Oryza sativa Japonica Group: one gene and its partner. The protein of the gene in region 2 interacts with the protein of the main gene of each other region in a pairwise test. Links are inferred from orthologs where the notes say so. Each region holds a gene or a part of one and is shown on either strand. Other genes may lie near its edges. The genes, in order: N-alpha-acetyltransferase MAK3 and MADS-box transcription factor 27-like.

Region 1 (4,566 bases), on a different chromosome or scaffold from region 2:
TCAATGAATCCATAAATTTAGGAAATGGATCGAAATATTCGAAACGGTATACAAATTCATACCCCAACTACTCTTCTTCCTAGTGCCAAGTAATGAAATATACTCCCTCCGTTTCTAAATATTTGACGCCGTTGATTTTTTTAAATATGTTTGACCGTTCGTCTTATTCAAAAAATTTAAGTAATTATTAATTCTTTTCCTATCATTTGATTCATTGTTAAATATACTTTTATGTATACATATAGTTTTACATATTTCACAAAAGTTTTTAAATAAGACGAATGGTCAAACATATGCTAAAAAGTCAATGATGTAAAATATTTAGAAACGGAGGGAGTATGTAATAAGGCATTCTTTTTCAACCGTCTAACATGGATTGAAAGAAACATAATGCCATGTCAAATAAGATACTATCTTTGAACACATCAATGTTACAAGAGTTACAGCAAAGCTACAAAAGCATCATCAAACTGACATAAAAGAGCAAAATGCCTTGGATCCTAACTCATCCTATCAATCGACCAGAATGGTATCACAAGTAAGGAGAATCCATGTGCTGGTCATCTCTCTCATTGCCTAGCATCATCATTGGATGCATACCAGGATCAGGGCGAGGAAATAGCAGCTTCAGGCGAAATGCGTCGACGCCATTCAGATAGTATCTGTACAGCCTCTTTGCTCGGATGAAACCCAAACGACCATATAAGGCGAGGGCGCCCTTGTTCGTAACTTCTGCTTCAAGTGTCACCTGGTTGGAGAGTGAGTCAGATATCAAATAATTCAATTTTTGTACTAATTTCACGAAAGATATTATTGTTATTATGGAAATTGCAGATTAGTCTAGGGCATAATTGAATAATCAATGAAGCAATTTTACACCAAGAAAGTCAAGTGATGGGTACCAAAACGACAATAGGATAATAATAAGTTTTTCATCGGGTGAGAAGATAACAACACAGTGGTGATTACCTCCTCACAGCCAGATTCCATCATTACCCGAATAGATCTCGTAACCAATTCGGTGGCTGTACCATGAAGAAACAGAGGGTTAGCTGATAAAGGCCAACATAGTGTCCATTTAATTGCTTATTACAGATAAAATTAAAAAAGACAAATGGGGACCATTTGCAAAAGCAAAGCACTTGTATACTTCAGGAAAGCTATTCGAACTGAAGCTGGAGCTTTCGCAATACTCTTAACAGATGACAAAGCTACCATATACTCTATTCATACATCGAGAAAGGTCATTCATGTCAGGCAGGATTCAACAATTAAAGCTGTCAAGATCCTTGCTGCGAATGTCATTACAGAAACAACAAAGGCAATGTTTTTCAGATAAACAGACTATCTGTACCATTGTACCAAGATATATGTAAATATCAGTGTGCATTTCATGATAAAAGTATTATGAAAAATGTACTCCCCACACAGGATATATGCATTAGCAAGTCGCACCACACCTATTTATTGCTACATCAATTATAGTCAGCACGCTTCCAAGTGTATGACACTAAGAAGAAATCATCTCATGCAAGAAGTTGATGTAACGATAAGGTTAGGCTGCATACTACAACATCAGATGAAGTGCTAAATGGCTCCAACCATAAAGAACTAATCGACCAAAATGCTCTCATGTGCCACAGACTGAATCGCTGAAGCACCCAACACGAGACATCTGTCACAGGGAAAACTAAACATGGGAATATTGGTTCATAACACAATACCTACTCCTACACAAAACTAGAAAACCACCTAAACAAAGTTAACTAACATTTTATCAAAATAATAGCACAAATCTCAATTGAAACTGATGAGAGAAGATTATATAGTTTAAGAGAAGGGAACAATAGAAGGCTATTGTACCCATAAAAGAAATAAAAAAATGCCTTTCCTTTCTGCAAATCAAGCAGGCAAAGAACAAAGAAATCCTACTAAATACTTAACATGGCATCGTTTTTAGAAAACCAGTAACACTTAGTAAGCTAGTTTTCGTTCCACTCTGCTACACAGACATATTTCACTTGCTGATGTTAAGACAAAAATAATACCATATCAACACAAAGCAACTATTACAGAGAAAAAACAAGTAAATGGTAGTGTGAAAGGATCATGAAACAAATTAGACTTATAAGACCTATAGCTAGTAATTTCTTGACACATGTAAAAGTGATACTCAATTAAGTTTGTGCAAGCATAACAAGGGAAAAACACCTATTTAGTACATATGGATATCATATCGAAATCGATGGAAGATTGTAAATCCGTACTAAATCGCCCACCACTCCACCAGGTGCCAGCCATTTCAGATCGAATTGGAACAAAAACTGAAAAACCCTTTGCTTTCCTCCCAATCAGCAGGATTCTTAAGTTCTTATTTAGATTCATGAGTGGTCTACGCTTCCTTTCAGGACAGACTTGTGCAGATACTATCAAAGGGAAGAATATGCTCCCTTTTGAAACAAACCAGTCAATCAACCAATCAAACAAACAGAGAAACTCTTCTTGGAGAATCGAAGGAGGGCTCACCGATTCCCCTGCCGCGGTAGGGCTTGAGCACGACGAGCATGGCGATGTACCCCCTGAAGGCCCCCCTGTGCTCCCCCATCTTGCACACCACCGTCCCCACGCACTTGCCATCCTTGGGATCGAACGCCTTTTGAGGGGTTGTCCCCCAAATCAAATCAACCAAGAACGCATCAAATCCTCACGAACTCTTGTGAAACACGCGCGCGAGGTGAGGGGAGGAGAGGGCGTACGAGGAAGGTGAGCTGGGGCCAGAGGTAGACGAAGTAGCGGTAGGTGAAGATGGAGTAGGGCTCGCTGAGCTCCTCGTCCACCAGCGACATCACCAGCGGGAGGTGGTGCTCCCCGCCGTAGCTGACGTACGCGATCTCTCCGCCTCCGCCCGAGGGCTCGCCCCGCTCGGTGGCCTCCGCCGCCGCCGCCGACATCGCCGCCGCCGCAGGTCGCCGACGAGGTACTCCTGTTGGGGAGAGGCACTTGAACCCCACGCCCGTTCTACAATCTTGACACGTGGCGTCACCAATCTTAAAGCAATCACACCTAAAGACTGGAACATACTCCTATGTACTCCACGTCTCCCCCAATCTTTAGCGAGGACATGTTTAAGATTATTACTACCAAAATAAACCTTTTTAAAATTTAGTCAAATCAAAATTTTTGGTAAGTTGATAAAATTGTTTAAGTTTTGATATGATGGAATAAATGTGATGTCACCAATTTCCATAAACATTATCAATATTTGGTACTAAACTAAATGCAACCACAAAATTATCGATTTACCATTGTAAATTATGGTGTCAGTGTGAAGCCCTAAATCTGGAAGACAAGAAATATGGGACAAAGGGAGACTATTTATAGTGGAATTCCACAGCAACTTGCATTAAGACTCGGAATCCCGGAGAACACGCGGGGTATTCTCTAGTTATTATATATGACGACATCCTCCTATATCCTACTTTTCTTTCCTCCGCATCAAAAATTTGTATGTGGCATTTTCTCTCAAATGCTGACGTCACACTATTGTCCATTCTCTTACCTTTCCTTTTCACTTTCCTTTTTATTAAAAAAAATAACTACCAGACCTTGCCTATTTGTTATATATATTAAAAAAAGTTATGTACAAACAAGAAAAGAATAAAAGAAATAAAATTATAACCATTGTAACCAAGAAGAATTCAGGGAGCTAAGAGAGTCATTCATCTTGGACAAAGAAAGACTTCCATTCCATGAGTAATATTCTCAAAGATCTTCCTATTTCTTTATTTTCAGATATGCCTGCAATAAACATTTTTCCTTTCTTATGAATCTAATTCTTGCCAAGACCAACATGTGAAAGAGTTCTAGGTTATCATTCATTTTTGTACCAATTCTCTCCCAACAATTTCTGCTGCAAGGACAAGAAAAGAAAAAGTTGTATGGGAGTTTCTTTTTCTGTACTAAAGCAAATCACTCATAAAAGGTCGCATCTTCTTAAGGATAATATTTTCTATCAAGCATATTTCTCGTATTTAGCCTATTACAGAATATGAGCCACATGAAAACCTTTATCTTCGTAACACATCTTATCTTTTTTACCCATAAGAATGGTCTTGGAGGTGTCAACTCCACAAAGTTTAGACTAAAATTTTTGGGAATTAGTATATATAGTTGATTATTACAAATGAAAGACCAAGTACCACTCATACTGAATCAAATTGGTTTCGTCTTTGAATACTTATTAAAAAAAGTATCATCCTAAATCGTTTCAATTTAAATTGCATTCATGGCATCACATTTTCAATCCCAGTTTGCTTCGTACGCACACTAGTACAATAATGATTTTTCCATGCGGTCAAAAGCGGTTTTCGCGTGCGGATCTTTCGCCTGTCTGGAACGAAGTATCTGTGAAAATCCGATTTTTTCGTGCAAGTGAAGCACCCACACGTGAAAATCAAAAGCCGTCTTGGAACCCTAATCCAGCCGCCACCACCGCTGCCGGCCTGCCCGAGGCCCATCGCCGTTGTCCCCGCGGTCGCCGGTGACGGATCCAGACGCCCAAGGCTG
Region 2 (3,246 bases):
GATTGTACCATTCAAGCTAAAAGTGTAGGTAAACAGGAAAAAAATAAACAAAAAATAAGAACTAGATTATGGCAAAAAGAGCAACAAACTATCCATCTGTTACAAGTATTAACTAATATTTTAGAAATTTAAAATTTCAATGTTAGCCACCTAGTGATGTAAATAATACAAATGATTAGTACATATTACTCGGTATTCTAAAAGGAAAAGGAAATAGATGGTGTTGTGTGCCTACAAGGCTAGAGTAAAGACCTTATCGCTCTTGCTAAACATACATACGTGCAAGCACAGTGCCTAGCTAATCCATCAGCAGAATAGAAGGGTGGAGGGGGTGGGAAGAGGCCAGGCCCCTCCGCCCCCTGGCGTCGCTCTTGCTGATACTTTTCTTGTTCTGGTACATCTGCACAGATAAATTATAATGCCTTTTCATCTCTTCTGTCTGCTTATGGCTTTTTAAGATAAAACAGAGCATTGATCTTGCATGCTCTACACTTCGCGCACTGTTTGTTTTTGCCAATAAGTTTGCACACATGTAGCTGTCATTTGGGTAAACAAACTTGCAGATAGTGCCAAATAGTCATAAGAAAATAATTTTCATGGGCTCTTCAGATAATACATTTTTATTCGAATAGATTTTACAGTATCAGATATTAATCATCCAAGCATGCAAACTGTGTCTTGTTATGTGTTAGCTTCTTTATGACCAATACATTTTAAGAGCTCTGAACTGTAGCCCTTAAGAATAGTGAAAATATAGGCAACACTTCCACACCATAAATTGTCATGGATGCAATTGGAGCCTGCAATAATTTCATTAAGTTATAATTGATGTTTCACTAAAGAACTGAGAATGGATAGATGGATCATGTGCAGAAAATCTGAGTTACCCTAGTTTAGGAGGTGTGGTTTGCTCAGCATCATTTTGTTGGCTTGGGGGATTGAGTTCAAGACGAGCAGGAGTGTTGGCTTCCTCGATAACCGCAAAGTTGTATGGAGTTGTTGAATCTCGATTCGCTTCATTTTCTGCCCCTGTCTCATAGAGCTGAGGAGAGAGATTAGCTGTCATCATATAATGAAGCGTATATCCTGTGAAATCATCTATCTGCATTTATCAAGTACCTTCTTGTACAGCTCAGCATTTTCTTGGCGAATCAGGTTGACCTTTCTGTACAGTTCCATGTTTTCTTGGTGGATGAGACTTCCCTGCAAATAAGCCAGCAATAGAGTTAGCTTACTAGCTGATTCAAAGATTTAGCAATTGTACATGATGTTGTAGAACCTTTCGATTCAGTTCGTGGATTTCATCAATCATGAGCTGGTCCTGAAAACAACAATATTGATCTTAAGTTAATCCATTATATAATCAATCAGGTGCCCAACAAAAAAATATGGTTAGTAGGTTGACCTTTTTTGTCCGGATGCAGCGTATGCTCATTTCTAGCTGATTTTCTAGAGTTTGCAGTTCCTTGACACCCAATCCAGAAAGATCTTGCCCCATCAACTGCCTGCCATCAACCAATGGATGTTATAGTGTTGTTCTGATGATATACAGAGTGAATATTGACACTTAATTTTAGCTGATCAACAGACAGCTGTTAATTGATAATAAAAATAATTTGTACCTTTCTAGTTTAGGTATTGTAAATTAGGCCTGAAGGACAAAATGGAGTGTTTGAACAATAATTTACCAGGCAGAAAGCACAGGTGAAGAAAATGTGATATTCACTCTCCTTTGTAAATTTGGTCTGTCCGCCTTTGATGGGTGCTCAGTTCTGTTTTTCTTTTAGAGATAACCGGAAATGCATAAAAATCGAATGGCTGAAGGTATATATTTCTTACTTTTAAATGATATAGAAAATTCACGTGCCTTCTTCATTTCTTTTGTTTGTGAAGGTTAAACAATGCATTATCTATAGGAAATTTGGAATCAGCATATATCACTTTCATACTCTGTTTTTTCTTCTTTTTTCTAAGTATCATATACCCAAGCACTAGGTGCTTGTTTTTATGATCTGGTACTAGTTTATATTTACTATACAATCAGGTGCTGGAAGTATTATTGTCGCTAGCAGTTGCTGGATTCATGAGCAAGTCCCCACAAAAAAAAAAAGTTCATCATCAAGGGTTCATGATGCATGTATTTCATAGTAGTAGATATATGATGGTTTATGTTTTTCTATCTTGAGGAATTTTCTGATGGAACATTGAAAAACTTGCAGGGTTTTATGGCCATACCGATGATTTTCTTGCAAGCTGTGCAGTTGTTGTCTCAAGCTTGCTGCCTCCCTTTGCCAGAACTATTGGATATGAAAACAGAGTCAAGAAATGCAGAATCCAGGTTTGCCAAAAGCAGCAATATAAATATGTTGTGTATACCCATAGAAACATGCTGGGTTATCAACTCACTAGTTTTTTTTTAAAAAAAAGGAAACTCAATTACATTAGACAAGAAGACTATTTGAACTGAGGAAGTTATTGTGTATGGTAAAAGAAGTAACAAGAGGCAAACAAAGAAATTTGTTGTAAACAAATAAGGGAAGTAGTATTATCTTTCCAGTTTGAAGACAGTTTTTTTTTCCAGATAAGACGATGAGCTACCAACTCTATTGAATTTGGTACTCCATTATCAGTCCTCGTTTTGCGGGGTGTTACCCCCTATTGTAAAAAGCTTGTTTGTCTAAGCAAAATGCTTCCAAGTCCCACCAAAGCTAGATTAACTACAAAGTATCTGCAGAGTGCACAAGTCAGGTAAAAAACTTGTTTGTCTAAGCAAAATGCTTCCAAGTCCCACCAAGCTAGATTAACTACAAAGTATCTGCAGAGTGCACAAGTCAGATAAAAAACTTGTTTGTCTAAACAAAATGCTCCCAAGTCCCACCAAGCTAGATTAACTACAAAGTATCTGCAGAGTGCACAAGTCAGGTAAGTGATGATTATATCATCCTGGTACAAGCTTTATTGCGGTGAAAGATAAGCAGTTAGTCTGAAATCTGTACAGATCTGTCAGCTGTTACCGAAGCAAAAGGTTCAATGTGAACTTAAAGATGCAGTACTGATCCTTTTAAGAGGATTTAACACAGATTTAACAGGTACGTGCCCCTTGTGATTCTTTGTTAGTTTTCTTGTTATAATGATGTTTTTATCCTCTGAATTCAAGCAGGGTGTTCTGTATGCGAGCTGTGATGGGATGGTTCTCTTCAGAAGCATTTTATTTTAACTAAATTCAGAAGCATTTCGATGGCATGA

What was found.
Region 1: the proteins of MADS-box transcription factor 27-like (region 2) and N-alpha-acetyltransferase MAK3 interact in binary tests that used the Arabidopsis thaliana proteins (3 or more experiments, as listed by UniProt). The link is inferred for Oryza sativa Japonica Group from reciprocal best matches to the Arabidopsis thaliana genes AGL21 and ATMAK3.

Annotation. Positions count from the first base shown.
Region 1 is NC_089045.1:21,021,465-21,026,030, forward strand, and holds N-alpha-acetyltransferase MAK3, read right to left. Parts: upstream 3,023-4,566; 5' UTR 2,952-3,022; coding exon 2,757-2,951; intron 2,654-2,756; coding exon 2,527-2,653; intron 1,026-2,526; coding exon 970-1,025; intron 749-969; coding exon 533-748; 3' UTR 377-532; downstream 1-376. UniProt on the Arabidopsis thaliana protein: Probably required for N-acetylation of some chloroplast precursor proteins and efficient accumulation of thylakoid multiprotein complexes.
Region 2 is NC_089038.1:23,540,146-23,543,391, reverse strand, and holds the end of MADS-box transcription factor 27-like, read right to left. Parts: exon of another isoform or gene 3,161-3,246; intron 3,090-3,160; exon of another isoform or gene 2,999-3,089; intron 2,923-2,998; exon of another isoform or gene 2,298-2,922; coding exon 2,236-2,297; exon of another isoform or gene 2,220-2,235; intron 1,781-2,219; coding exon of another isoform or gene 1,723-1,780; exon of another isoform or gene 1,574-1,722; intron 1,506-1,573; coding exon 1,406-1,505; intron 1,322-1,405; coding exon 1,280-1,321; intron 1,204-1,279; coding exon 1,120-1,203; intron 1,043-1,119; coding exon 888-1,042; intron 801-887; coding exon 782-800; 3' UTR 575-781; downstream 1-574. UniProt on the Arabidopsis thaliana protein: Probable transcription factor.